Nothobranchius furzeri: one gene and its partners. The protein of the gene in region 1 interacts with the protein of each later gene in a pairwise test. Links are inferred from orthologs where the notes say so. Each region holds a gene or a part of one and is shown in the gene's direction. Other genes may lie near its edges.

Region 1 (4,086 bases):
ATGGTTGGAATCTGACCAAAACATGCTAGCCTTCTGTGGTGGACGATCAGAAAAGATGTTACATTTGCTGCTGGGTGTGAATGTTAAATTTGCACAAAGAGAAGCATGTGTGAAAACCAAAGAGGACTAAATACATTCCCTTACAGCCGCAGAGGCCCAACACTCCTGACACGTCACAAGAAGCTCTGTGGGGTTTTGTCTGATCAGGCAAAAGTCACAGGGGTTATCACAGCCGGAGACCTCAGGGAGTAATTGCAGATGAGTTTTATGTAAAGCATTAGGTAAAATGAGCCAAATAAGGCTAAAGCATTACAATTCTTTCATTTTTCTACAACACTAACTGTTTTTACTCATTTGCCACAGCTTTAGTTGGTAATAAACAGTATATTTGACATGTGAAGTCTCTTGTTTGTGTGAGGCAAAGGATCATGCCAATTACTGCAGAGATATTTAGTTTATTTGATCAGACATTCAGGAGAGACTAGGAGTAGAGCCGCTGCTCCTCCATATCGAGAGGAGTCAGTTGAGGTGGTTTGGGCATCTTGTTAGGATGCCTGCTAGACGCCTGCCCAGGAAGGTGTTTCAGGCATGTCCTGCCGGCAGGAGGTCCCCTGGTCGACCCAGGACATGTTGGAGAAAGTACGCGTTGGAGAAAGTACATCTCCAAACTGGCCCAGGAATGCCTTGGGGTCCTACTGGAGGAGCAGGTGGAGGTGGCTGGGGAGAGGTCAGCCTGGAACTCCCTGGTTGGGATGCTGCCCTCGCTGCCCGGATCCGAATAGGCAGAAGAAGACGAGACTAGATATTTAGTACATTTATATATTTCTAAACTTTTAAAATAATTGCTCAATACGGCTAAAATATTTACATATTTTTCCAATTATAGTGGGACATTTAGATGTATTTTATTACTTATATATATATATATATATATATATATATATATATATATATATATATATATATATATATACATACACACACACATAGATAGATAGATAGATAGATAGATAGATAGATAGATAGATAGATAGATAGATAGATGTGTGTGTGTGTGTGTGTGTGTGTGTGTGTGTGTGTGCGTGCGTGCGTGCGTGCGTGCGTGCGTGTGTGTGTGTGTGTGTGTGTGCGTGCGTGCGTGTGTGTGTGTGTGTGTGAGAGAGAGAGAGAGAGAGAGAGAGAGAGAGAGAGAGAGAGAGAGAGAGAGAGAGAGAGAGAGAGAGAGATTTTTGTGAAAAAAGGTAAACTTTCCTTTATTCCAACCCCTTGCCTCCTCCCAACACCACCTCTCGTGCTCGTACACAGGCGCGCGCGCGCATCCAGAGCTACGTCACGCGCTGGGAATGCAGCGAGGAATTGGTGTCTTCGCTAAAGGCCTTCAGATCCGTGACAAAAGTAGGTTAACGACGCTTCAACGACAGCCAAGTCTTCAGGACAACTTTCACTAAGTCGTTAACGTTTAAATGGACTCGTAAGTCGTGTTTGTGCGGCTCGGTTCGGGCGGTAGGTGGCGGTTTGCCGCATCGTTTCCTTTTTGGTCGTGATGAAAGTTAGCCCGGTGTTGTGCCGAAATAAGCTCCCCGCCGTGATTAGCACCTCTCGGATTCATGACATGCTAGCAAACATGTAAACAAGGCTGCTATTAAAGTTAATTACGGGTAGTTTTATTTCATTATGGAGTGTTTGATCACTTAAGTGCGGTGATTTGCACATGCGTGACGCACAGACAGATTTAGACCAGACAGATTCTCTGGTTTGACATATCGTTGCTGCTGCGGAGCTAAAAACGGGACAGTATCTCAGACGGATGTGAGTTTATCTGCTTTTCTGTTTCAGCCTTTTTTTCCCCCCTTTGTTATTTGTGTGTAGATGAGACCTAAGGACAGGCGACAGTAAAAGCACTGTGAAGGTAGGAATGCTGATTTTTATTTTGAAAAAACTGACCAGAAGCACAGTGGTGTTTTTTATTTTTAGTTATGTAATTTATGTTTTTATATCTTTATCAGTAGTAACTGGCACACAAACAAACATTTAACTATCATTATCTTTTATTTCGAAAATAAGTGTTTTATGTTGCCTAATTGTAAAATTAAATAATGAATGTAAATATGAGATTTGCAACAGGAAATGACGACTTATTGTGTTTATTGGGTTATTGCGTTGCACAAACATTTGATATGCTTTATTTAGAATTTAAAAGTAGGAAGTTCTTTATATTTATTGTCTTTCATCCAATTCAGGACTTGGTACTGATGATTTACTCTATGCAGACAGTTTGAACAATAAGTAGAATTTGTTATGCATGCTCCATAGGAAACATTTGGCTCCAAACCTTGAGGGGGATGAAACCATGGAGATTAATTTCCCTGGGCCAGTCTGCCTTAGATTTGACTGTGTGCTCATCCGGATTCAGACAAACGCTTTAATCGGGACCACTGCGCAGGTGGTGATCACCCTTTCCTCAGTGTGAACTCCAGTTTAACAAGTCCTGAATCTGCTGGTTTTACATGGATCACATATCTTTAATTTGAACGTTAAAACCAGTAAAAAAAACATCATGTTAAGGGTTCAAATCTCCTGTCTGAAATGTATTTATATGAAGCTACATCGACATCTGATCTGACATTATAATCCTCTTAACCACGAGGAGGGTCACACCACCCACGTCCAATCGGTGTGAGTGGGTTATTCATTTCTGCACAGGGACTGCACTTGTGTCAGATTTCACATGGCTCGTTTGGGTGTCTGCAGTCTGTCTCTGGAGTTTGTGTCTGCCATTTATTCTTGTTCTGGAAAACACGTTTCATTAAGTCATTTTCAACATTTGTAATTTAGTAATTATAACTTCTGTTTTTGGTATTGGGGGGGGAAAACAAATGTTGTTCATCAAGATTTTTTAAATCGACAGGACAGAGTCTTTACACCCACACGGGTCAAATCAATGTCCTCCAGTAAAATAGTCCACAACAAGTCTTCTGTCCACAACCCAACACATTTTACTGCTGAAAAAATGTCCTTTAGGTTTGTCTCCTTCTCTCTGTAATCTCTATTAGCATCCTCAAATTAGCTGATCTTACCTGATCAACAGGGGAAGGGTCGTCGCCTCTGCTGTGGCAAAATTGATTGGCCAACAGGTCAGACGTGCCGGCCCCATTCCCATAATTAAGGTGCAGTTTATTGTTGATTTTTGTGTTCGCAGACACAAACATTGGAGCAAAGAAAAGAATGCTGTAGCTACTGTGAGGCATGAAGGGGGTTTGGGTCACCAGGTGTCTTTAAAGAGCAAGTCACCCCCAAATAAACTTTTTTTTGCTGATAAACTAAATAAACGAGTGTCTAATCGTGCTGCAGACACGTGTCGTCAATAATTTGGCACTTCAGTGCATCTTAGTTAAAATTTAAATATTCTGCCTAAAACTGGCAGTGTTGTGCCGTTGTCAGGTAAAAACTCTGCACTGCATTTTAATTTAAATCTGCCACTGCTATTGGCTAAGAGGTATGCTATGATGTAAACTGGTACATTATGATGTCACAATGCTGTCGTGAGCCTGAGTGTGTGTGTATTTGTTAGCAGCTCCACCCTCTCGGTCTGCCAGGCAACAGCATTTGTTGCATTTTCAAACATGAAGTGGGAGTGGAGTTAGACTCTGGTAGGGGTTGACTTGCTCTTTAATCTGTGGGGTTTAATGAAATCTGGAGACCTTTAAAGCTGTGTGTCCTCTGCCATTTTTGGTCTGTTTGGGGTTGATTTTCCACTCATTCGACAATCTTTGGTGCTAGGCTGTTTTGTGTCGTTTGCATGTGGACGGTGACAGTTATACAGGGCACGCTCGGCTTTAGGTGTTCTGGATCTGCCCAGTACTAGAACGCTTGTCTCAGGTCATGGGCCCTCCAGCAATATCAGTGAAACACCGGCACCATTCTGACACGTTTTCAAGGAAAACAAGAAAGATCCAGCAGTTCCAACTAAACATTTAAGATTCCCATGTCCTGGACCACTGACCATCTACACAAACCTTTTTCCTAAAGGTACCAACAACTTTATGTTTTTAATTTCTACGACTCCTTTCATTAAGAGTGTCCGGA
Region 2 (4,324 bases), on another chromosome or scaffold:
CAGGAAAGACCATCACCCTGGAGGTCGAGCCAAGTGACACCATTGAGAATGTCAAAGCTAAGATCCAGGACAAGGAAGGCATCCCCCCAGATCAGCAGAGGCTGATCTTTGCTGGCAAGCAGCTTGAAGATGGCCGCACCCTCTCAGACTACAACATTCAGAAGGAGTCCACCCTCCACCTTGTCCTGCGTCTGAGGGGTGGGCAGTAAAGTCATGGTTCCACAGTTGGTTTCATTTGCCATGTAATGCTTGGAAATTAAAAGTTACATTTGTTTTTAACTTGTGACCAAAAATGTTCCGTTATCACAATAAAAGGTTAAATTTGCTTTTGCTTTCATTTGAAATGTTTTACAAAAATTGTTCAGCAGTTTCCCCTGAAGCCAATTAAACAGACTTCTAAAAGTTGCAGAATAGACCAATTTTAGATGGCAACATGTAAACGGTGTTAACAAAAAAAAATCTGCCACAATTGCCTTCAAAATTAAATCTCAAACTTAATTCCAAATCCCACTAGATCTCCACACTAACAGCTCATAAATATCAAATGCATGTAAAACTTAATGTTAGCATATTTTGAGGGCAGATCTGAGCTTTCAGAAGGAAGTATATGTATTTGTGGTTACAGCAAATAATTCAGACTTATCTATCTTTGAAATTGTTTCACAAGCAGGGAAGAGTCATCAAAACATGTTTGTGAAACCTAACGTTTAATTTAAAGCGAAGGTTACAATACTGGGATAAAGATGGAGCATTACCCTTGTCTTGGCATCAATGCACTGCTACCTGCTTGCTTTAGTATCCAGTATAAGGTACTTTAAAATCTATGCATGGCCTTAGGGCCTTACTCAACATTACTTTTGAGCTGCTGCTGTTCTACTCCTGTGGGTCTAAGGTCAGCTGATGAGATGGATGCTCCTGGAAGTCCCAAGAATGAGACCTAGCCTCTGAGGTGGGGGCTTTTAGTGTAGTCTGGAATGTGCTGCCTTTAAATATTAGGTTGGCATCATCGCTGTCTTGTTTTAAATCTCTTTTGAAACCCCTTTTTTATGGCTTTTAACTCCGCATGAGTCTTTTACTTTTAAGAGTAACATCTAAATTAACTTTTTTGTCTGTAGATGTGTAATCAGTGTGGCAATTTGGTGCAACTTTAAATTTAATTTCGGCCCAAAACTTTATATCTCCATCTTCAGGTTAAAAACTGCTCCACATTTATTTAGAATCAGCCACAGCTGATGGCTAAGCTGAAAAACGTGACATTGTCAGCAAATCACCACGTGGCTGCAGTGCACTGGTCTCCAGCTGAGGTAGCCGCACCTCCACCTGGCTCAACCACTCACCTGCCGATGTGACAAGTTGGCGCTCGGAGCCGCTTGCCCCATGCCTCCTTGAAAAAAACGCCCTCCTCTCCTTTTTCATCTAATGATCGCGGTTAACAGGAAACCCTCCAGAATGCTGCAGAATCTGAGTCTGCTATTTCCCTGAGCGGTAAGTCTGCTGTGAGTGTGTGCTTGCGTGCATAGGCGAGTGTGCACGGTGACGTGTGGATTGATGGTGTAGTTCGCTCCTGTGCTCGGTAGGGAGCGCTGCCGCGCGAGCAGTTGGATAGAGCAGCAGCATGTTGAATGCGAGAGAGGCGGCGCGCTACCGCCATGTCACCTAGGGAGAAACAGTTAGCGCTTCTCTCTGTTTTAGGATTAATCACCTTCGCTTTTTACTACATCCCCACTTTTCTGTACGCTACTTTAATTTTTGCAGCTTGTTGTTTTGCTTTTTATTATCACAGCGGAGAATCGTTTCCCGCCAGGTTAGGCCCGAATCCTCGGGTTGGATTAAACGTTTCGGGCGTGCTGCGGCGCTGGTCGTCGGGTTGGACAGCGACCGGCGTCTCGGTGGCCGCGCGGAGTAGAACGAAGAACCGCAACCGATCCGAGCACCATCACCGGGAGACAGAGGGACTCCCGAAGCTCAGTAAAACCGGGCTCTGTCGAGGAGAAGCCTTAGCAAGTGACTCGATTCTTTTCAGCCCTCGGGATTTTCTCATGGGGAGTTACATCGGGAAAGCCGAAAGTCCAGCGGCCGTCTCTGGGAGGCCAAAAGCCGGGAGAAATCCCCGGGAGCAACTGCGAGAACAACTGTCCAGACCCAACCATGCAGTTTATACCCCGAACAGGAGGCTTTCGTTCTCTGGGTGAGTTAATTAGGTTTATTAAGCTCTGATCCATCTGTTTAAATTCACGTGTTGCATGAAAAAGAAATGTTTATAGCGTTAGCTAGCTTGTTAGCACACAAAACCCACATGTTTGAAACGTATAAAGCTCTAACCAGAACTCTTTAACTTGGAATCGTTTTAAAAACATCCAATAACTTTGTTTCATTGGCTTCTTTTACTCATGCTTTTAGCTAAGTTACTGTGATAAATCTTTTGTTTTGATGGCTTGTTGTGTCTACACGCTTGTGTTGTCTAAAAACTAACAGAGCATTTTACTAACTTTTCGTTAAAGTGCATATCTTTACTTTTTGGTTAGGATGAGCAGCATAGTTTCTTTTTCTATGCAGCTGCATGTTTCACATGTAAAGTGATTGTTTTATATTGTTTTATTTCTATTCCATAACATCTGTACGTTTTAACCTGCTGAAGTTGTTCCTTCCATTACAATCTCCTCTGCAGGGAGCCTCTGGGTGCAGCTAACAGGTTCACCATCACCCCCCAGCGTCGCTACCCCCTTCAGCAGCCTGGAGTCTCCTCAGTAGGAGTCCTGCCTCCTGTCAAGTGGGATGGTTTCAGAAAAAAGAACATCCTGAGTCCTCGAAATTCCCCTGCTGCTCTCAGTCCCGTCACTGTAAAGATCGCCAGGCCCGACCACAACATTCCCAGGTCTCTGCAGGTTAAATGTTTTTGGGCACGACCGTTTATTTTTAATTTTTAATTTTTTGTCTTTTAATTTACTATTTGGATAGCCCTTGATTTGTTGCTTGAGGTCTTGCTACTTTCAGCCGAATCAGTGCTGACTGTCCTCTGCTCTGGTTTTTAGTGTGAATCATCTGAGTTGTGCAGGGCTCACCAGGGTCCCGGCAGACCCCTGCTCCAGAGAGAGCGTCCTCAAGGTGTTGAAGGAAAGCCGCAAGAGGGAAGTAGAGGATGAGGACAGGAGCTTCACCGCTGAGCAAAGAAGCAAAAGAAGGTAGAAAATTTGTTTAATAGATTCTTGAGGTACTGTCTGCTCAGTCTGGACAATAGCAGCTGTCTTATGGTTTCTTTTTATGGCTTTTCTTAGGCGCAATGACAGCGGTGGAAGTTCGCACTCTGCTTTTGAGCCTCTGTTGCCTAATGGAGCACCATCCCAGCTGGTCCCTAAGTGAGTAAGAATTGTATGTAAAGCTGAATCATAATCTTAGATGTTGGACAAAGCTTTAAATGTTGTTTTTATTAATGTTCTCCAGACCAGGGAGCCTAAAAAGAGGGATGACCGCATCCTTAGACGAGACCACCATGAAGAGGTCTCGCACCTCCTCCATCAGCTCTAGTTCTGGAGTTCATGCCCCGAGAGGAACTTCGGGTACCAGAAGAAATGCAATCCAAAGCTCCTACAGCTCTTCGATAGGTTTTAGTCAGGTATCTTCATCTACCGGAGTCTAGTAAAGGGGGTTTTTGCATAGCAAAAGCAAATCGAAGCATTTTTTGTTTTTCTTTACAGTGGAAGAAACCATCTGCACCCAGCTCTCCTCTATCGAGCCCTGAATCGTCTCGCTCTCAGACTCCAGAGGGATTTGCCAAAAGACCCAGGTCTGTTTCTGCATGTTTGTCATCATTAAACCACATTTAACTACAAATTAAAGCTTTTTTTATGTTTTCTAATCAACAGAGAGGATGACACTCAGTCTCCAAGCTCTGCATCCTCAGTGAAGTCGGACCACACTGCATCAGACAAGACCCTTGATACCAGTAATTCCCATTTATCTGTAGATGACTTTTCCAATTTAGATGATTCATGTTCAAAGTATGGTCACAAACAAATATGATGTTGTTTCATAATATTGCAGTAAAACAAACTCCGGTGATCAAATCCCCAGTCACAACCTCTGCAGACTCGACTGGAAGTGGTGGGAAGAGAAAACGGAAGATCCAGCTGGTGTCCAGCCACCGAGATGATCGCATCTCTCTGGTGAGGAGCGCTGATCTCCCTCACATTTGTTTATTTGCATCCAGATTGCATTATTGTGGTTGTTCATGTGCAGCCTCCACCTCCTGAGCTGGGCTACACCATCACAGCCAAAGATCTAGACGAAGAGAAAAAAGCTGCTATCAGTAAAATCCAAAAAGTCC
Region 3 (3,607 bases), on another chromosome or scaffold:
GTGTCTACAGTTATGATTGTATCCTTGATTGCGACATATCACTGGAATCACAAGAATCCTAGCTGAGACTAATTCATAGACATAAAAAATGTTACTCATTAAAAAATGAACAGCGAAGGGCTTGGCTAAAAAATTTGTCCAATCGCTCAGGCTTACACTGAACCCAAAACGGCTGCAGGCGGAACACTCTGAAGTAACCACTGACTCCACTCCCATTCCAGTCAGTGAATAATTGCTAACGTCGTGTTTTGACATGGCTTGGTACACTTCGAACCACGTTGGCTCCGGTACTGAAAGGTTGTGGGGGAAACTACAGAAAAGGCCGTCCAACTGGACCAAAACCATTCGAGCCACACTTGAGTAGGTCTATATGACCCTGTGGTGGACTGGCAACTTCTCCATGGTGCCCCCCACCTGTCTACTCCCTCTGACCCTAGTATGAATTAAGTGGTACAGATAATGGAGGGAAGGATTACAAGCTGGGATCCGTACCTGCAAACACCACCAGGATTATTGTTTATAGTTGTTTTTTTGTTGTTTTTTTTTTTGCTTAAAGCCAAGGTTCTCCCTGCTCTGGTGCAATGTCCTGGTCCAGCTGTAATACTGAGTCTTTACATCAGTTAAATAGTCATCATTGTTGAAAAAACAGTCATTAGTGCATTGTTTTATCCACGGTGCATACAGTGACCGTACAAACCTATAGGGGAGTGTTGGGTTTTAACTCAATCTAAGGAAATCCTTACATAGCTCGTGACAATAGCTGACAGGATAGTCATCTTAAAATAGTCCCTTTCCTGAGCGGTAGTTAAGATTTCAGTGGGTCAGGAAAACCCTAACAAAACCTCAAGTTCAGTTTCAGTGAATAGTATATCAATTTGTTTACTTTTTAATTTAGTCTAGATTCATGTACTGTATATAGTTTTTTGTTTGTAATAAACAAAAGTCTTGGAGGAGCTTTGTTCCTGCTTTCTGCCAGTCATGTTGTCCTCTAATCAGCTGATTTATGACCCTAAACATGACTCATCTATTCAGTGGCTGCTAGCTGCAGTAGCTCTGTGGCTCAAGACCACAGTCTTAGCAGTCTCTCTCTGTATCTTAGCGGGTGCCTCTAGTTGACCTTCCTCTCGGCGTACACAGGCCAAGGCCTAAATAATAAATGAGCAGCCTGGAAAGAGCCAAGTGCGTGTGCAAGCAGTGTAATACCACTGGAAGTTGGAGGTAAAAAGTGAGTTTGCTAGAGTTTACATTAGTTTTTACAATGAAACAGAATGTTGCACTCCAGATTATAACCACTTTTCCCTCTTGGCTTCACCCTGTGGATGTCCCCAACCTGCTGAAGTTTGTGTTGGACTGCAGTAGTGTCAATCATTAATGAAAAGCGTCCCACCTTCTCGGGTTTCCTTCAGTAGAGCAGCGGGAGAGGAAGGAGCTCAAGGGTTAAAGATATTGGGATTGGGAGTGCAGCATGTACATTAGAATGTAACGTAGCTCTCACGTCTTCTCTGTCTTCCAACAGAATGTCGCCAAGGATGAGGACCAAGTCACTGAAACCATCATACCAGCCCTTCATCTAAAGGAAGTACACCAACAACAAGTTAGGGAATGTTCTCTGTTTATAACGAGAGGATTTTATTCCTTAAGTTGTTGCTGAACATCTTTATTTCTGCATGATGGATCTATTCTTCCCCACATGGATCCTCAAATGTCCTTCCCATGTTGAATGGAGGTCTTTGGCACAATCTGTATCAGTTTGAGTTTAATATTTGCACTTTTTCATCTTCCTGTTTGGATTTTTGAATGTATTACTGCAAAATTGGCCACAGTTGAAATGGATGGAAGGACTGGAAAATGGCTAAAACCTTGGATTGTTAGGTTTCGGACATCGTTCTGCTACGATTTTATTCTGACACCATAAGTGTTTATAAAAATGGAAAAAAATCAGATGATCACCTTTTTAGTCACGGTTTAAATATTTCTTATGCACATTCTTGTGTGAAAAGGGTTTTTTTTGGGTGTTACAAAAGGCCGTGATGTAGGCCTTTTTGGCCTGAGTGAAGGCTGAAGAGACTTGAAAATTTAAATCCCCAAATCAGAGAAAAGATCAAATATTCTCAAAGCTAAGTGGAAAAACAGCAGAGTAGCAATCGCTGCTCGCTATGGCAGCAGATCACAGTGAGCTGCTGGCTGAGATGGCAACTGTTGGACGTCTGAGTGCCACAGAACGTCTAAAACATGCCCAGAAGAGACGTGCTCAGCAGCTGAAGGCTTGGGCACAGATGGAAAAAGATGCAACGCGAGGGTCGCGGGCCAAAGCAGACAGGAAGAAGAAACGCACCACCAAAGTAAAGTTTCCTGACTCCGTCACTCTCCTAGATTCATCTGCACGAAACGACGTGGAGGAGGGTAAGTTAACCACACACCATGTGCAGCTGTTTGAATGAAGTGAACTCCTCTGGATACGACACACATTACCTGTAATGGGCTCAACATTTTCTTTTCAAAGGGTTTTGTTGTTGCCTGAAGGATTGAGGCTAATTATAGTGTAATCTCTTCCTTGTTGAGCAGAATATAAGATTCCATTGGTCAGTCAGTGTCTGTGTGTGTATCATGTACCTTCATTTAATTTAATTATTAGATTTTTTTAAATTTTTTTTAGTGACAGAGCTGCTGAACAGCGGTGTGAGCCCAGATCTGGTAAATGAAGATGGATTGACGGCCCTGCATCAGGTACACACCTCGGCTGAAGTAGTTGGTGCTATTGTTCGTGTGCATTTTTTTCATATTTGGAAACAAAAGAAGACTGAGAAGTAACTTTGGTCACCGTAACCCACATTTAGCTCCTAAGTCACATGGACTGCCCGCACTCAAACATGCTCCCGTTAGCTCTACTGCTAACGGGTCACCAGCAATACTTCATACAAAAAATAATCACATTTTCCTTAAACCTGTGAAACACTGAAAAATATTTTTAAATTATTATTTATGCTTATAATCTGTTACTCTTGAGTGTTTCATGCAGGCGGAACATGAAAATAGTCTCCTACACCTATCTCCTGCTTTAGCTTCTGATAGAAAATAGACGGTGAAACTCTAGGATTAGAAAATCCTGACAGATCTACGTCACACTGTCACTTAACATTCATGGACTCGCTCATCTTGGCTTGTGATGGGGTTGGTCGGTTTAGCGTCCAGGAAACGGCAGAGAACATCTTGACTAGTAGAAGCTAACCATTAGCATTAGCAACCACGCAGCAGAACTCCTTCAGGCTTGTGTTATTTGTGGAGATTAAACATCAACGTTGCATAGTGAATTGAGTAGAGTTGCGTTGCTGTTAGCCAATCAGATGTGATTGGCTGGCTGGTGTTACATAAATTGGTTTAACTTAAAGAGCAAGTCACCCCTTACAAGAAGCGTACTTCACTCCCACTTCATGTTTGAAAAATGCAACAAATGCTGTTGCCTAGCAGACGGAGAGGGTGGAGCCACTACAAATACACACACTCACGACATTGTGACATCATAATCTACCAGTTTACATCATAGCATACCTCTTAGCCAATGGCGATGTCAGATTTAAATTCAAATGCAGTGAAGAGTTTTTACCTG
Region 4 (4,312 bases), on another chromosome or scaffold:
TAACTTCATTCTTTGTCTGTGATAAGCGCCATATAAATAAAATATACTTACTACGCCAGAGCAGCTCAGATAAACACAAACATCATGATGATGTCACTTTCTGCCAATATCTGACTGCTCAAAGGGCCACAGGTAATAACTGTTGTCTATGACCTTTGACCTTAAACTAACTGCATGTTTAAAGCCACGCCCCCTCTATATGTAAACAGATGGACACACCCACAAATACCCTCAGGCAAATGCAATCATGAACAGTAATTCCAGCTGATCAACATGACATTGCTACATTAGCCGCTAAACGCTGCCCATGAACACAAAGAACAGTCCCATGATGCTTTGCACCTGTGACCCCTGCCTCTTGGGTTTCCACACACCTGTATGTTTTCATACCTGATTGCACTTATTTTAAATTGTGTTTAAACATTTAACACGTCATATTTTAAAGGCACACTTCGCAGCTTTGCTTGCTTTTAGCACCCTCTAGTGGCCGTGTATTAAAACCAAAAGTGAAACTCCTCGCTGTGCTTTAGTCTTTTTAACACCTTAATCTAATCGCGCCTTCTATAGTGTCTACAAGGCTGGTTCATCACTAAATCAAATACATCAGCTGTGTTCATGATCTAATGGAATGCAGGAAACATGCTGGAAGCAGAATGCAGCGCCGGGTATGTCATCTCCATCTGCTTCAGGTGGCGCCTGAGAAGGGTCTGCAGCCAAACTGGGTGGGTGAGGGTGAGTGACATGTCATTAATCCTGTGAAGGGTCATTTTGGAACATAATGACTCAAGAAAATTATTTAAAAATAAGAACAAGTTACATCGTGTGGCTTTAAGATTCAGTCTCTCGTGTCAATAAAAACAATAAAATAAGAATAAAAATTAAATTAAGAGTTTTCCTTGTTATGGGGAGCAAAAACAAACGTTAGAATTCTAAATATGGAAAAACGTGTTTAATTATAAAATGTGTTTTATGAGCTAAAAGTGGCTCAACGCTAGATGTTAGCCAGGAGCTAACACACACGGATGTGGGACTGATGCAGAACACCTGGCGTGCCGTGACGTCACACACATAGTTTAGCCATTGGGGTTGTTTAGATTTATTCCGTGAGTTTTATGGTGTTTCTCATGTGTGTGACCACGTGAGCCAGGTGTGAACTGACTAATTATCATCTAAAAGGATCAGATGTTTGAGATTGTGAGTGAGCTTTAATTAACCATCGCTCTGATCTTCATTGTTTTCCAACGGATTATAATCCAGATGATGCCGTTACTGCAGGGCATTCCCACCAGGCGGCGGAGGCGGGCTTCTGGAGCCTGTTAGCCACGCCCCTCCACCGAGCTCACACCGCGACAGCGCGCAGTCCACCGGGGATCGACGCGGAGCTGGGGCGCAGAACCCACCGGGCGGGGAGCCAGTACCCGACACACTACACTGACACCGGAACCACTGAAGCAGTTCGGTTATGAATCCGGTGGGGAGTTACTATTGAACCGGACTGGACCCGTAACCGGAAGAGAGATGCTGATCCAGACCGACTCGGTGCGCCTCCGGGGCTGGTGATGCCCACCGAGCAGGGATCTCCACCCAGCAGCAGGAGGAGCGGCTCGGAACCACAGCCTGTCGGGGTGCAGAGGATGGTGCTGGTCCGGTTGAGGACATTATGGCTAACGGAACCGGTACCATCATGTTAAAATGCGTCGTGGTGGGAGACGGTGCGGTTGGTAAAACGTGTCTGCTGATGAGCTACGCCAACGACGCCTTTCCGGAGGAGTACGTTCCCACGGTGTTTGACCATTACGCAGGTAGGGCCGGTTCCACTGGGCTCGGATGGGTTCTGGTCTAATGAGGCCCAGGTGACCACCAACTCCGATGCTCCTGACATCAGAACCACTTGTTTGCCTCCTTCATTACAACCGGGGGGGGCTCCACCCACCCAGCCCCTCCCTCCAAGGAGGACCCCCCACCCACACACACACACACACTCTCTCTCTCTCTCTCTCTCCCTGCAGTGAGCGTGATCGTGGGAGGGAAGCAGTACCTGCTGGGACTCTATGACACAGCTGGCCAGGTACAGTTAGCCCCCCCCCCCCCCCCCACACACACACACACACACACAACAGGTGATGGGGTGCTGGGCGGGTGGGGGTGGGGTGGTGGGTCAATGGTTCCATTATGGGGAGAACAAGCGTGCAATGTCCAGTAGAGATGTCACGTGGACTTATTCTCTCACTGAGAGGAGTTTGTACTGAAAACACACACACACACACACACACACACACACACACACACACACACACACACACACACACACACACACACACACACACACACACACACACACACACTGTATCCTTGTGTAAACCGTCCATTGACTTCCATTCATTTTTGTGACTGTATTATGCCTAGCCCATACTCTAACCATGACCATAACCAGTGCTGTTCTATTTCTAATCCTATTCTAAACAAAAGTTAATTCACACCAAACCTCTAGAACCACGTTTTAGGGTATTTTGTCATCGTGTGGACCAGCCAGATGTCCCCACAATGTGGAAATGTCCACACTCTACAGGTTAAAGTTAAATTTGTCCACTTATGCTTATAAAGACAAGCACAAACACACACACACACACACACACACACACACACACACACACACACACACACACACACACACACACACACACACACACACACACACACACACACACACTTAGACATAGCAGCATAAATATTTTGTATAAAAAAACCTTTTGTATGAATTATCATTTATTTCATTTGGATGCTAATTAGCGTCCCTAAACAATAATCTAATTGTTGATATCCTTTAGCTAATTTCTGCTTTTCCAGTTTTGTGGTTTATTATTATTATTACCATAAATCCTCTAATACAGGCCGGTATTCAATTAAAGGCCGGGTCTCCAATTTTGGCCGGTGTCGGAGTCGGCGGAGGTGAATAATGGCCGGCCTCTTATTGTGGCCGGGTGGAATGTGGTAACAAGCAAGTACGGGGGCGGTTGTGTCATCGTCTCACTTTTGATTTGCGAGTGATAGACCGCGAGGGTAACTTTAACCGTGCGGAGACGAAGAGGAGGCGAAAATTTGATATCAAGTTCAAAGAGACCGTGCGCTGCAGAACACTGGGGAGCAATAGGGGTTGTATGAACTAGTCGACTTCACTATAGTGACTTTTTATGCCTGTCGTCGACTAGTCGCTGTCACGAGATAATGACCGGCAAGATGCAGCCCTCGGAAAAGACAGCAGCCTGCTGTCAGCAGGTGACAAGCTCCTGCGCTCGGGGGGGGGGGGCAACGCGCTCTGCCAGAGCGTCGGTACTGACACGCGATCGTTCATGTCGGTTCATTTCCTTTAATGTTTTCTGTCTTTTATTTGCACCTGATGTGTTTCGCTGCTGTGGAGCGGGGCACTTCACCTTGTCCTCCGACGCACTGATCACTGATGCGGCCGCCTAGCAGGGAGCTCTCCGCTGTTTTTGCGGTCGGTAATCTGCCTCCTGAGCACGGCCACAGTAACAATCAGGTGTTGCCAAATTATTTAACACGCGATCGTTCATGTCGGTTCATTTCCTTTGATGTTTTCTGTCTTTTATTTGCGCCTGATGCGTTTTGCTGTGGAGCGGGGCGCATCAACTTGTCATCCGGTGACGCACTGATCACTGATGCGGCTGGCGAGCAGCGAGCACTCCGCTGTTTTGCGGTCGGTAGATCTTTTAGAACTGCAGTTCAAAGGTAACTCATGAGGTGAATATATATGAACCCAGGTAGCAGTTTTTCTTTAGGATTGAGAGGAGATGCAGGAAGATAATAAACAGACAGGACAGAAAAATAGTCAAATAAAAACAAGTTAGTTTTTGTACCTGGTGATTGCAACAAACGGACACCATTGAAGGTAATCAGAAGTGAGGAACAGAAAATGAAATAATTATTTTAATGTTTAGAGCAGCAGGCACTCCGAGAGGCTGCAGGCGCATCAGTGAGTTTGCGGCCGCTGCGCAGGGGGAGGGGGGAGAGGGCTGAAGCAGAAACTACCGTTGTTAAAAGAAATGTGTTTAACTTTGAAAATGTGGGCGCAATATTAATTGTCAAAAACTCCAACGAACCATTAGTTCATTTTGCTCAAATAGAAATAGAGGCCTGCCTCTAATACTGGCCCTCCTTCCAATAAAGACCTGGAGCTTGATTAGCTTGAGTCAAATACAGGCCCGGGCCTGTATTAGAGGATTTACGGTATTATTTCAACTGAACTTATTGAGAGACTGATCTGCAGTAAATGGATAATCCATGTTAATGAGCA
Region 5 (4,336 bases), on another chromosome or scaffold:
TTTATTTTTCCGAGTAAAACGTGTAAGCAGCTTTTTATATTTAATAATTTCTTTTCGTAAATGCGCAAAGCCATAATTTGAGCTATTTCCAATTTCAGCTGCAGGAATAAATAATTAGAAGACCAAATTTGCACCCAGGATCTGAGCATGACAAGGCTCCAAACACGGCGTGCAAGTTGCAAGCAAACACCCGACCCATGTTTGCCTTCAGGAGCTCATAAATCACTCCGTGGCATGAATGAGGCGGACATTAAAGAGAGCAATTGTGGCGTAATGTGCACAAATAAAAACCCCACTTACGTTTTCATGCGGGACTCCCCGATTCCTAAGCTAAAAGGGGCCGAGCTCTCTGCGTGCGTTTGGTAATAATTCATTTTTATGGCTTGTTTAACACGCGGCTCTGACTCGGAGACAGCAGCAGCAGCAGCTCAGGTTAAAGCTGCTCTTATTTAGCGTCGCTTCTCCACTCACACTGGTGGAATCTGTGATTTTTTTTATTTAAAGACAAGACTGGTTTGTGTGCGTTTCAAACCCCTCACTTCAATAAAGGGATTATGAACATTTTAGCACTCTTGCGCAGCTTTGATTGGATTTATGGGAACTCAATAATCCAGTTTAACTCAGAATCACTAAAAAACACCAGTTGAGATGAAAGCTGCAGTGATTTTTCAAAACGTGTCAAACTTAGCCGAAAGCAGAAAATCAGCTCTAACTTTGGCTGTGTGCGTGTGTGGGTGTGTGTGTGTGCGCGCGCGCGCGCGTGTGTTCAGATGAGGGGGTGGTAGGAGGAAGCAGGGGGCAGATGCTGCTCTCCTGCACTACGGGCCTGCATAACCAAATCATTCCGAGACAGCGCGCCTTTTCTGCGCCCCCGCGGCCACACAAAGAGCCGCGGAATCTCCGCGGGGCCCGGCTGGCCTCAAGCAGCAGAGACGCGATGGATCCTCCGCGCCCACTCACTACAGAGGCAGCTGCTGGAGAGGGGTGGGGGTGGAATGGAAACCAGTTCGTCTCTCTCTCTCTCTCTCTCTCTCTCTCTCTCTCTCTCTCTCTCTCTCTCTCTCTCTCTCTCTCTCTCTCTCTCTCTCTCTCTCTCTCTCTCTCTCTCTCTCTCTCTCTCTCTCTCTCCCTCCCTCTGCTATGTAGTTTGCAACAAGTCTTTGAACATTTTCACATCTAATTTTGTTTTTCTAACATCCTAAAACATTACATTTAAGACAAAGTAGAACTACATTTGACTAATGGAAAAAAGCTGCACATTTGAATGTTGCTAATATTTTACTGATACTGCTTGTTTGAGTACCAGTGAGACAACTTAGACGTTTGTAGGAAAAATAAATAGAGTGTAAAATCTGAATCACGCTTTTCTGAGCTGAATTAATCTACTTAATAACAGAAGCACGTTTATTTAAGTGCATGTCTATCTTCAGCCTGAGGGGGCGCTCATCCCTCCATCTGATCCTTCCCTTCGCCCTCCCTCCCTCCCTCTCCTCTATTCCTTCCTCGGTTAGAGGTTGGGCATCTGCTACAACCCCCTCACTCCCCTCCGCTCTCGCGCCTCCCGTGACCATTCGTTTTCCCAGCAGCTTTATTTGATGAACTTAACAGGATAATCAGCCCACTCGCACCTCGGGCTACATATGCGCATTAGCAGGCTTCGCATTATTATATCATTTGATCACCATACATGCATAATGAATACATGCGGGACTGGAACTCTGGTAGATGGCTGACCTATGACCCGAGAACGGAACAAAACATTAATATCACATCACCTTAATGGTTTTGTCTCCTAATCACGTTTGTGCGCTACTTCAGGCACATTTTAAACGTAATTTGAGCTTTTTGCGCATCCTTTTGCGGTGTTTTATGAATATATGACCGGATCATCTCTCCTCGTAACGTGAAATGCACAAACCTGCTCCTGCTGCGACCTTAAGAGGAAACGAAATTCTGCTGGAAGGTGGCTTGGTGCGATGGGATGGATGTATTTAACAGGGGAAACACGTCCTCTCCATCACATTGTAACAATATTTGCCCAGAAAATCCCTTAATGTTCCAGCGTGAAACATTTCACATCGGAATGGGACATTAATAGCCTAAAGATAGCCCGCGGCTGCAGCGAGCGCGCGCACTCTCAGCCATCCATCCTTCCTGGACAGAATGACACATGCGACACCAGGGCTTATACGCACGGAGACGCCAACACACGCGCGCACGCACACAGACTCACACTTCTCTGTTCTAAAAATACCTGAGGTCAGAGTGCAGAGCGGTCCACCTTGGATGACATCTCTCCTCAGTGTGAGATTGCGCAGCAGGGGGGTTAAAAGACACCGGGTTCACCGTCTCAGCAGCTCCTCGTGTGTCCCGGAGCTGTCCACCTCCGTCTGCCTCCCAGCCCATTGTTTGCTCGGCCAATACATTAGTGGCGACGCGCGTCACCTTGATCGACGAGCGCCTGGAATTTAAATAGCCCCTCAAACACCAATCTGTCACCGGCTAAAGGGACAAGGACCCTCACTGGCTGACCCGTGCCCACGTGACAGTGCCCGTTCATTGATATCCCCAGCACCCCCCTCCCTGCACTGATAGGGACAGAAAGGTAAAGGTTGGCACGGTCACTTTAGGGTGAGAGTGTGGAGAGATCAGAGGGGGAGAGGACAGTCTCCTGGTCCCAGACTAACGATGCTACAATGAGCAGCTTCCTAGATTACTCGGTGATGAGCGGTGAGGGTGGCTCATGTTCGATCAGGGCTTTCCACTCGGACCACGGGATTACAACTTTCCAGTCCTGCGGGGCTGCAATCAGCAGCTGCGGGGCGGATGAGCACTTCATGGCAAACAGGACTTCCCCTGACAGCATCCCTCACCAGCCGGCCTCTTACCAGCCTACTGCCACCTCTATGGGTCTCTCCTATGGGGCCCACCCGGCCTGTGGCTCTAACTATGGGCCCCAAAGTTTCTGCGCCACGTACAACCACTACACACTCAACCAGGAAGTAGACTCTGCACCTGCATTCCCCCAGTGCAGCCCTTTGATGTTTTCAGGTAACATCTCTTCCTCCATGGTGTCTCAGCATCGCCATGGCTACAGTGCTGCCACCTTGGGCCAGCTGCAGTATGCTGCTTATGGCGGGGGTCATGAACAGGCACCTTCTTATCCTGGGGCCTCCAACCCGCTGTCACCTCTGCATGCAGCTCACCTGGAAGCTTGCTGCTCACCTCTGTCAGAGAGCGCATCTTCTGCGCAGACTTTCGACTGGATGAAAGTCAAAAGAAATCCACCGAAAACAGGTGGGTGCAGAGCTGTACCAGCACGAGGGAGATAGGTGGGAATCTAGTCTGTTGCTATTATTGGTTTTAATTGGTTTTAATCGGTCAAGCAGACTGGAATCCACACAGGAGATGTTGACACTGCGAGCGCGTTGACGCGCAAACGCATTAAATGTCCATGTTTCCACTTCAAGCGTGCGCCCCTTTCTTTTAAAAGTTGGTTTAAAGACATTTGTCTTTAACTATAGAGTGTGTTTTATATGTAAAATAATTAGGTTTTCTTTGCCTGCTGCGTAAAAGTTGGTTCTTTTGGATAATCGCACAGTTTGTGCGTCCTTTGGGTGAGAAAATAAACTTGAATCCCTCTTCCTGTCCCCAGGTCGCTCCGGCGAGTACGGCTATGCGGGCCAGCCAAACATCGTCCGGACCAACTTCACCACCAAGCAGCTGACAGAGCTGGAAAAAGAATTCCACTTCAACAAATACCTGACCCGGGCGCGCCGAGTGGAGATTGCTGCTGCGCTGCAGCTGAATGAGACTCAGGTGAAGATTTGGTTTCAGAATCGGAGGATGAAGCAGAAAAAGCGCGAGAAAGAGGGGATGCTGCCGGCTAAGGTCCAGTCATCGCACCCGGAAGAAATAAATCAAGAGAAATTAGACGATGCCGCTTCTGAGAGGTCCGTCTCAGCGCCGTCCACGCCCTCTCCCAGCTCATCCACGGTGTCCTCCACTGGCACGGACACGTACACCTCTACCTGAGCAGCCTATCTGGGCCACACGGGCCTGTAAATACCAACGTTTAAATGTATCAAAACCAGAGTCTTTGTTCGTGAATGACATTGTGTGAACATTTATTAAAGTTAGTCCTCCATCCGGGAGCTTTTGGATCACCCTGGAGCTTTAGGTTTAAATTGTGCAATGTGTCTGCAAGAACATCTCTGTATCTTCAGATAAGTTTGATCTGTAACGTGAGCAAAAAAAGGCAGACACGAGTCTGCAAACGAAAACAAATGTAAAGTGGTGTATCCGGGTCATGGCGGGTATGCAGCGCAGGGTGCTG
Region 6 (4,140 bases), on another chromosome or scaffold:
GGGACCTGACACAGTTGTGACTTTTGTACATGATTTATTATTTTTATACTGAGGATGCTAATGGAGGATTAGCTGCTGTCTGTTGAAGGAGTGACACCATTTTTCTGGCTGGATAAAAGTGTTAATTAATAGGTCAAATTAAGCTTTATATGTGGAATCAGATGTTTAAAAACATTCTTTTGATTTCATTTGTTTGAAAACACAAATCCCTGCAGTTTGAAGGGAACATTCTCCTGTTCTCTACCCTTTTATTCTACCCTTTCTCAGTGGCCTAGTGGTAGAGTGTCCGCCCTGAGACTGGGAGATCAGGGGTTCGATTCCTGGTCGGGTCATACCAAAGACTTTGAAAAAATGGGACCCAATGCCTCCCTGCTTGACACTCAGCATTAAGGGGTTGGATTGGGGGGTTAAACCACCAAATAGTTCCAGAGTGCAGCTGTGTCTGCAGCTCCCCCAGGGGATGGGTCAAATGCGGAGAACAAATTTCGCACACACACCTGTGTGTGTGACATCTAATGGGACTTTAACTTTTAACTTTAACAATCCATGACCTGAATTCAAAATAACTTCAGTTTGAGCCTTAAACACTAGGTGGCAGTGTTGCTCTAAGATCCATCATACTGGGAACTAGTGATGGGTGTTTTTCCATCCACAGTTCAGACTAATAAATGGTGGTAGATGATAAACTAACTCCAGTTCTCACCCACTACAGCTTCCATCCTACTGACTGAAACATTTGACACAGATCTTAAAGGATAACTAGACATGCGTGTATGTTAAACACCTTTAATGAAGCTTGAGCCATAATTAATGTATTGTTTCAAACTCAAGCTCCAGCAGAAGGTTTGTTGTTTATTAAAATACCTGTAAGAGTTTTATCTGAAATCCTCTGACCTGTAGATCACTTTGACATTGAAATCAAAATGGTAAAGATCTCTTTAAGCTTCAGTAAATCAATCTTGGTCATATCAAAGCAAATTTAATGAAACTTTCACAATGTGATTTCTGTGTGTTCATCTAAACTAATGAAGCTGTAAACATCAGACTATAGAGATAAACCGATATGGTTTTTCTATTGCCGATACTGATGCTCATATGTAGAGGTCACGGTCAGTTATGGCTGATATGTGCTCCTGTTTTTTGGGTTGATTTTCATGGCCGATGTCTAGACGTTTTCTAACATATCTGCATCCTAAATTGTCACTAATAACATCTGTTGATGCTCAACATTTCTGAACCTGAATCAGTTTCTGCTGGTGGTGGTCATGGGGACAGGTCCCCAGGGCAGCTGTGGCTCCAATTAGCTCATCATCACCAGCGTGTGAATGGGGGGATGACTGACTGTGTTGTGAAGCGCCGTGGGGGGTTGTCGAACCCTAATAAGGAGCTATACAAATATAGATCATTAACTGTTTTTGAACTCTGATTTTAACCATTTGTTGAATCTTAATCTTGTACACTGATCAGTATTAGGATGAAACATTAAACCAGAGTCACACATCAATAAACTGACCAAGTATTACATATAACTGAGCATTTATCAAGCACTTGTTAGTCAGGAACGTAAAATTAGGGATGCATGATATGTCTGCGTCAGTATCGGTATGGCCGATGTTAGTCATCTGTTAACATATCACATTGGTCCAACGAATAAAACTGGGCCAATATCAACAACCGATTATTTTTCCAACATGATTCCATTTGTGCATCTGTTTCAGAGGGAGGAGGGGTGATTATCTGTAATTGTTTATTCATGTGACAGTGATGGTAATCATCTCAGAAGCGTAAATGTGTGTGGTGTGTATATAATATTGTAAACACACACACACACACACACACACACACACACACACACATATATATATATATATATATATATATATATATAATATCTAGTTTGCACTTTATAGAAAAAAACATTCAAAAATTCAGCTTGCATAATTTCACAATCAGTATCAGTATTTGCCATATTAGGGATATTAATATCGGTATCGGCCCTAAAATGTCATATTGGTGCATCCCTTGTAAGTATACATTTGAATAAAATTTGGCAGCATCGCCGGGCTGCCCACAGATGTGCCCGTTTTTAAATTGGCTCTATAAAAGTGGTATATATCAGCCCAATATAGCGGCCTGTCCCTACATCAGAGTTTGACATGGAGCACTAAGCAGTCTAATGGAATGTAGAAATAAGAGTAAATTCTAAAAAAAACACATTTAAATGAACAGGTAGGATAATTAACACATAATTTTAATGATGTATAAAATATATATAAGCTAAAAGTGAGCTTATTCTCCTTCCTTGTCTCCACTGATGTTTTTCCCTGAGGCTCTGTTTTGCGTTGTAACCTGTAGCAGGTGTGGCAGCCTCCCATCACTCCTCCTCCTTTAAAGTGTTTCAGGATCATGTTTTAAAAACACAGATATTGTTTCATCTCTGACGTATCCATTGCATTACGCTCTACAAACAGCTCTGATTACGGCCTCCACTGTTGTTGATGAGTGTCACGTATAATTGGCGACACTTTAGCTGCTACCTGATCTGCGCTACTTATGGTTGTGCAACTGCAAATTTAAAACAAACCGAGTTCCGTTGGTTGACATTTTTCAGGGATTTTCCCATTTCCTGTGACTCACAAAGACTCATTTACATTGTTTGGTTTGTAAACAAGTCATGTACCATTGTGATAATATGATATATGCTGCTCTAAACATCACTGAAGCGTGCGTTTAATACCTGATTCCTTATAACATAGGTATCCTGATTCCTTTATGTGAGTCTGGGACATGCACCTTGAGGGAAGCCATCATCATCGGGAGCATTCTCACAAAATGCTCCATTCCTGTGCTGCACTCCAGGTTGGACCTCCTCACACAAAAACACACATGTGTTAAATCAAGTCTGCTGTTACATAACTTGTGTGATCTGTCCTTTCTTTCAGCGCTGCAATGCTTAAGTTGGCAGAGATGGAGTACAACGGTGCCAACAGCATTTTCCTGCGTCTGCTGCTTGACAAAAAGTACGCCCTGCCTTTCCGTGTTCTAGATGCCTTGGTGGCCCACTTCCTGTCTTTCCGCAACGAAAAACGTGTTCTTCCTGTGCTGTGGCATCAGAGTCTGCTCACCCTGGCCCAGCGCTACAAGGCTGACCTGGCCTCAGAGCAGAAGGCAGCGCTGATGGAGCTGCTCAAGATACAAACACACCCGCAGATTTCTGCAGAAATTCGCAGGGAGCTACAAAACTCTGAGTCGAGAGACACTGAAATCGGGCTCCCTATAATGGTTGAAATGGACTGATTCAGTCTGATGTGGTGCACCATTCTCCACATTCATGTTCCCTCTTTACAAAACAGACTTTGCTGTTGTTCATATACAAGGAGGAATTTAAACTTGTTTATGGACCTCAGAGATGTTTTCTGTGTTCTGCCTTGACTTGTTTTCACAAGTGAGACTCTCACCAGTGGTGATGTAGCTGCAGTTTCACAACGGTAACACAAGTCTCTGAGCCTGGGAACACAAACTCCTTTCGGATTAAAGTCGTAATTCTGAAACCTGTCAGAATAAAAACCAAATTATACCTCATAAATTGGTTGTTGATTTTAATTTATAGTTAACATTCGCTAACCAGAAACATGGAGTATGTGAAAAGGCCTCTCTGAGAAAGGTAACTCAGTATTTAATTTATTAGGAGCACTATAGCAAAGATTAAATGCGGAATTGAGAGGCACATTTCTAGGTATGAACATGGAGCAAAAATGATTTTCTAGATGTTTTTTCTGGAGCAAAGGGTACGTGCTAAAATTTGCAGAGTTAGAAATGAAAGTTGCACAAACAAAATGTGTCATTACAGAGCTGGTTGTAAAAATTCCAGTTAAAGATGGCAGATGGGCGTCAGTGGGAACAAATTATTACTGAAGTTATGATTCAGCCTTTTTGATTATAATTCGATTATTATATCTAATTTTCTTTGAAAATGTGAAAAAGTTATTGGAGAAAATGTTATATGATAAAAATGAACATAAATACAACTTAAATCAACATATTTGCCAAATTATAAATTTTCAAAACTACAGATGGGAACGTGTTGTGCATTTAAAGAAGAAAAAGTATAAAGTTAATCCTTAAAACACGTTTTTACAG
Region 7 (4,283 bases), on another chromosome or scaffold:
ATTAATATATATATATATATTCAAAATTGGCAAAAGTGCCACCACAGCGAGTGCCTGAGCTTGTGTGCCAACCCTAACCCAATCCTTTGAATTACGTTTGCAGTAAAATTCCCAGCGCCCATCATTTTCACGCAATTTAACAATTTGAACCTAACAAATACGGATGCTCGTATATTGATTTGCTGCTTATTCCAAATATTTGCTACCTGTTGCATTCACCATGGATGTCATGTTGCTTTCAGGGGACGCAAAAAGTGAAAACACGGCCAACTGGCTGACTGCAAAGAGCGGCCGAAAGAAGCGCTGCCCGTACACCAAACACCAGACTCTGGAGCTGGAGAAGGAGTTCCTCTTTAACATGTACCTGACCCGAGAGCGCCGCCTAGAGATCAGCAAAAGCGTCCACCTAACGGACAGACAGGTTAAAATCTGGTTCCAGAACCGGAGGATGAAACTGAAGAAAATGACCCGGGAGAACCGGATCCGGGAGCTCACGTCCAACTATGGCTTCTCGTGACGCGCGAGAAAGTGGTCGAATAAAAGCAGCAAGAGGAAAACTTTCCACCTCTTTATCAGTCTCCTTTCATTTCACTGAGACGTGACCTTCTTTTGTCTCTAGACACGCTCCACGTGAGCGCGTGTCTAGAAAATCATATTGAAGTCACACACACACACACACACACACACACACACACACACACACACACACACACACACACACACACACACACACACACTGTAAAGTGGCTGATTTGATATAATTTTTTTCTGCATGATGTAAAGATTTCCTACGCTGACCAGATGTGCTCCATCATGTTATCATGTAAGCTGTAGCCTCAGCCAGGACGCGTGAAGGACGATTTTAATGTATATATGTGTTTTTGTGTCATGTCTAATAAATTATCATCTGATGAGTATTTCTGAACCACACATGGATTTTTGTCCGAGCGTAGCCACCAGAGACTTTTTATTTTAAAGGAATTAAACACAATGATACTCTGGGCTCATGCACATCAGAGGTTCACTTGTGTGTTTTGTCTGCAGCTGCTAAAGAACGGAGGTGAACGCTAGTGGAGGGTCGGAAATAATTAAGATATTAGGCTGTAAGCCGCGCTGCTGCATGCCCAGCCGGCTATTGTAGAGTTTTATGACTGGCTGCTATAGAAGCTTTCTCCCTCTCCTCGAAGAGCAGCGTCAGTCGTGAGTGAGCCTTTCGGACGGAGAGGAGGCCCGGCTCACAGCCATACACACACACACACACACACACACACACACACACACACACACACACACACACACACACACACACACACACACACACACACACACACACACACACACACACACACACGTGGATAAATTCTGCTCCAAAATCTGGAAAAGCCACCGAGCATCCGGGTGAGTCTGCTGTGATTTTTGATTTTTCTGCGTCTTTGTTCTCGTTGTTTTGATCTTCGTTTAAAAAGAGGATCTGGACACGTGCACGAGCGCCACGGCTCGTTCTGATGTGTCGGGTCGTGTTGCTGCCGAGGCCCGGATGACTGTGAAGTGGTTTAGGTAGTTTCATGTTGTTGGGGTGCTTTTCTGACTCTACAACAGGAAACTGTCTGGATCGCCCCAGTCCCAAACACCGAGAGCGAACCGGAACCGCCTGCAGCTCAGATATCATGGGGAGGATAGAAAAATCGGTGTTTGGAAAAGCAAGCCTCTGGATGTCATAAACCAGGGAGGGGGTGGGGGTGGCCCGCGGTGTTTTCTCAGATTCCTCCTGCTTTGTTTTTGTTGTGCTGCTTAAGATGATGCATTTGTCTGCTGGTCAGAGCTCAGCTGCAGTGTGCGTCGTGGACTTGTGACTAAAAGCTGGGAGTGTTTTTCTTCTCCTATTTTTTCTAGTGAGTAGTAGTGAGTGACGCAGAGACGCCAGACAAGGCCTCGGTTACGACCACTGCAGTGGAGGGGAAGGGGAAGGTGAATGGGGCAACAGCGACCTCCGTCGGCAATAAGACCGGATGCTTCCACTGCGCAATGGTGGCTCTCACAAAGGGAAGGGCTTTATGGCGATATTTAGATCCGCCAGACAGGCTGTTATCTGCAGAAGCAAAGAGAAGTGAATAGCCCCTGCGGTAAACTGCAGGGTGAAGAAAACACCCTGATTTAGGTTTACAGCCTGAGAGCTGTTGGCAGAGTGGCGTCTGTTCCTGCTGCAAAAGTGTTTGTCTATTCTTGTTTGTCTATTCTGGATTTTAGTGCACAAAAAGGCGCACAGCCGCCCCTATCCTGAACGCATCTTCTGGTATTAAACTGTGCAAATGGACAGCGGGACTGTGCGTAATTGTGCGATTTTCTCTGACTCTACGTGCGATTTTAATCGCAACAGCAGAATTCAGATAATCTGTGCGTCTGGGATTCTCTGTGGCCTTGTAGGGGTGTTGGCCAGCTTCTCTTTTATTTGCGAGCAATAAATAAACCACATAAATGAAATAAAAAACTCAAGGTTGGCGCAACAAAAACCACCGAAGTCAGTTAAGAAACGCCAAACTGCACACGTACCCTACACACATAATCTTTTTAAATTTTCAGTTTTTAAATAACAAGTTGGCTAAACCCTTTCTAGGAAATTCGCGCTTACTACATACTAATGTAATCCCGTGGATAAGGAATTATATAACAGCTGCGTAACATCCTAATCACGTATGTATTTTCAAATATTGTCCAGTTTTCCAGCGCGTCGATGTTTCCCGTCATAATCATCATCAAAACAGCGTTTTATAAAATAAAATACTATTAAAAACAAAAATGGACAAACAGTTCAGTCCCTGCAAACTCTCCGCACCACCTCCATTTAAAACATGGGAACTAAACACCATTTAAAGATTATTTTTAGCGCCGTTTGTGTGTAAAATTACGCCAAAGCCCAGGCAGCTGCAGGTACTAACGCACTCGTTAATGGCCGCGATGAAGCAGCATATCCGCGATAACGTGGTGCAAAAGATAAACAGATTAACTCTCTGTATTTTATTATTTACTTTTATGAACAAGCACATTGCTTTAAAATGAAACTATATTGTGGATTTGTTTTTGTTTTTTAATATTTTGACTTCTCCAGATAAACTCTAAAAACTCAAACACACATTTAGCAAAGCTGATGAATAAATCACTTATTATTTGTTAAAATATCTGAAACGAAGTCCGAGTCTTGAGCGCATTTCTGGTAATTTATCCAAAATGTTAGAATACGCTTTGTTTCCGCACGGCTCAGTGTGTTTCAGATTTTAAAATAAATAATGCTTTGTTCTTAAAATAATATCTAACGGGTTCTAGATCCTCTTTTTAAATAAGAAAACGTTTAAATAAAGTGTGTTAATGTTGTAAAGTGGACACACAAACATTAATAATAAAGCATGTGTTAGTCTGTATGCGGGGATGTATCAGAGAGGCCATTTCAGGTTTTTATTTACAACATTTAAGAAGAAAATCCTGGGAGCTAAACGAGAATAAAATATTTAAACGTTATTAGTTGACGGGTTTTACTCGTTTCGTCTGAAAACTCACCTGCTTCTGAACGATGTTGAAATGATCTGAGTGTGTCTAAAACAACAGAACCTGAGCTGAATTCAGCCTTTTTGTGTTTTATTAATGATCGCAGCTTCCTTCACTGAGTTTGCTGTATTGGCAGCAGAGGAGCTGCTTACGTGTCCAATAAACCATCCCGTAAAAATAATCCTCCAAATACATGTAGTATGTCTGAGGACGGCGCTGCTGAGAGCAGCGTCACCTTCATCAGCATTTATTTATTTTTATTTATTTTCTGTGTCGTTCGTGTTTATTTTCCCTGTTTTTACATTTCTGACCAAATCCCGATCGTTGGTAAAAATCCGGGTTGTTACAGCAGAACGGGTGAGTATTTAATGACTGCAGGGATTGATTTATCTTTTATTGTTCAGCCTTATGATCACGTGACTCCGCTGTCCAATGGCGTGGCGGCGTGTCTCCCCATTACTTTCCCACTGTAGTTCTCCGTGGGGCCAAGTTGCTACTTGATTTCTCCACATTGTTATTTTGCGAGGCTCTTTAGTGCGCGCGCGCGCGTGTGTGTGTGTCAGAGGTGTGTGTATGTGTGTGTTTGTGTTTTGCCCTTTTGCATGTATCTGCTGTATGACTGCGTACATGTGAAAGTGCCATTTTTCTGCCATGTCGACGTCCGGAACATTGACTAGCTACTACGTCGATTCCCTCATTCTGCCCGAGAGCGAGGAGGTCTCCATCCCGCGGTACCCCTCTGG

Evidence for each region.
Region 2: the proteins of trip6 (region 1) and pom121 interact in binary tests that used the Homo sapiens proteins (3 or more experiments, as listed by UniProt). The two-hybrid records come from large-scale screens. The link is inferred for Nothobranchius furzeri from reciprocal best matches to the Homo sapiens genes TRIP6 and POM121.
Region 3: the proteins of trip6 (region 1) and ppp1r16a interact in binary tests that used the Homo sapiens proteins (3 or more experiments, as listed by UniProt). The two-hybrid records come from large-scale screens. The link is inferred for Nothobranchius furzeri from reciprocal best matches to the Homo sapiens genes TRIP6 and PPP1R16A.
Region 4: the proteins of trip6 (region 1) and rho-related GTP-binding protein RhoQ interact in a two-hybrid assay, tested with the Homo sapiens proteins (2 studies listed by BioGRID and IntAct). The two-hybrid records come from large-scale screens. The link is inferred for Nothobranchius furzeri from reciprocal best matches to the Homo sapiens genes TRIP6 and RHOQ.
Region 5: the proteins of trip6 (region 1) and hoxa1a interact in a two-hybrid assay, tested with the Homo sapiens proteins (2 studies listed by BioGRID and IntAct). The two-hybrid records come from large-scale screens. The link is inferred for Nothobranchius furzeri from reciprocal best matches to the Homo sapiens genes TRIP6 and HOXA1.
Region 6: the proteins of trip6 (region 1) and bysl interact in binary tests that used the Homo sapiens proteins (3 or more experiments, as listed by UniProt). The two-hybrid records come from large-scale screens. The link is inferred for Nothobranchius furzeri from reciprocal best matches to the Homo sapiens genes TRIP6 and BYSL.
Region 7: the proteins of trip6 (region 1) and hoxa9a interact in binary tests that used the Homo sapiens proteins (3 or more experiments, as listed by UniProt). The two-hybrid records come from large-scale screens. The link is inferred for Nothobranchius furzeri from reciprocal best matches to the Homo sapiens genes TRIP6 and HOXA9.

What each region holds. Positions count from the first base shown.
Region 1 is NC_091742.1:54,147,307-54,151,392, reverse strand, and holds the start of trip6 (thyroid receptor-interacting protein 6), read left to right. Parts: upstream 1-1,274; 5' UTR 1,275-1,395; intron 1,396-1,397; exon of another isoform or gene 1,398-1,503; intron 1,504-1,869; 5' UTR 1,870-1,909; intron 1,910-4,086. UniProt on the Homo sapiens protein: Relays signals from the cell surface to the nucleus to weaken adherens junction and promote actin cytoskeleton reorganization and cell invasiveness. Involved in lysophosphatidic acid-induced cell adhesion and migration.
Region 2 is NC_091750.1:52,614,988-52,619,311, reverse strand, and holds the start of pom121 (nuclear envelope pore membrane protein POM 121), read left to right. Parts: upstream 1-1,489; 5' UTR 1,490-1,622; coding exon 1,623-2,188; intron 2,189-2,668; coding exon 2,669-2,875; intron 2,876-3,032; coding exon 3,033-3,182; intron 3,183-3,275; coding exon 3,276-3,356; intron 3,357-3,441; coding exon 3,442-3,613; intron 3,614-3,695; coding exon 3,696-3,784; intron 3,785-3,863; coding exon 3,864-3,943; intron 3,944-4,041; coding exon 4,042-4,163; intron 4,164-4,236; coding exon 4,237-4,324. Other genes in the region: polyubiquitin-C, read left to right, coding at 1-209. UniProt on the Homo sapiens protein: Essential component of the nuclear pore complex (NPC). The repeat-containing domain may be involved in anchoring components of the pore complex to the pore membrane. When overexpressed in cells induces the formation of cytoplasmic annulate lamellae (AL).
Region 3 is NC_091747.1:54,993,093-54,996,699, forward strand, and holds part of ppp1r16a (protein phosphatase 1 regulatory subunit 16A), read left to right. Parts: intron 1-1,516; 5' UTR 1,517-2,156; coding exon 2,157-2,403; intron 2,404-2,656; coding exon 2,657-2,727; intron 2,728-3,607. UniProt on the Homo sapiens protein: Inhibits protein phosphatase 1 activity toward phosphorylase, myosin light chain and myosin substrates.
Region 4 is NW_027223037.1:4,057,959-4,062,270, forward strand, and holds the start of rho-related GTP-binding protein RhoQ, read left to right. Parts: upstream 1-1,443; 5' UTR 1,444-1,660; coding exon 1,661-1,802; intron 1,803-2,009; coding exon 2,010-2,068; intron 2,069-4,312. UniProt on the Homo sapiens protein: Plasma membrane-associated small GTPase which cycles between an active GTP-bound and an inactive GDP-bound state. In active state binds to a variety of effector proteins to regulate cellular responses. Involved in epithelial cell polarization processes.
Region 5 is NC_091751.1:29,552,108-29,556,443, reverse strand, and holds the start of hoxa1a (homeobox protein Hox-A1a), read left to right. Parts: upstream 1-1,528; 5' UTR 1,529-2,696; coding exon 2,697-3,297; intron 3,298-3,655; coding exon 3,656-4,035; 3' UTR 4,036-4,336. UniProt on the Homo sapiens protein: Sequence-specific transcription factor. Regulates multiple developmental processes including brainstem, inner and outer ear, abducens nerve and cardiovascular development and morphogenesis as well as cognition and behavior.
Region 6 is NC_091743.1:46,638,487-46,642,626, reverse strand, and holds the end of bysl (bystin), read left to right. Parts: intron 1-2,756; coding exon 2,757-2,859; intron 2,860-2,942; coding exon 2,943-3,297; 3' UTR 3,298-3,586; downstream 3,587-4,140. UniProt on the Homo sapiens protein: Required for processing of 20S pre-rRNA precursor and biogenesis of 40S ribosomal subunits. May be required for trophinin-dependent regulation of cell adhesion during implantation of human embryos.
Region 7 is NC_091751.1:29,595,185-29,599,467, reverse strand, and holds the start of hoxa9a (homeobox protein Hox-A9a), read left to right. Parts: upstream 1-1,451; 5' UTR 1,452-4,191; coding exon 4,192-4,283. Other genes in the region: homeobox protein Hox-A10, read left to right, coding at 243-517. UniProt on the Homo sapiens protein: Sequence-specific transcription factor which is part of a developmental regulatory system that provides cells with specific positional identities on the anterior-posterior axis.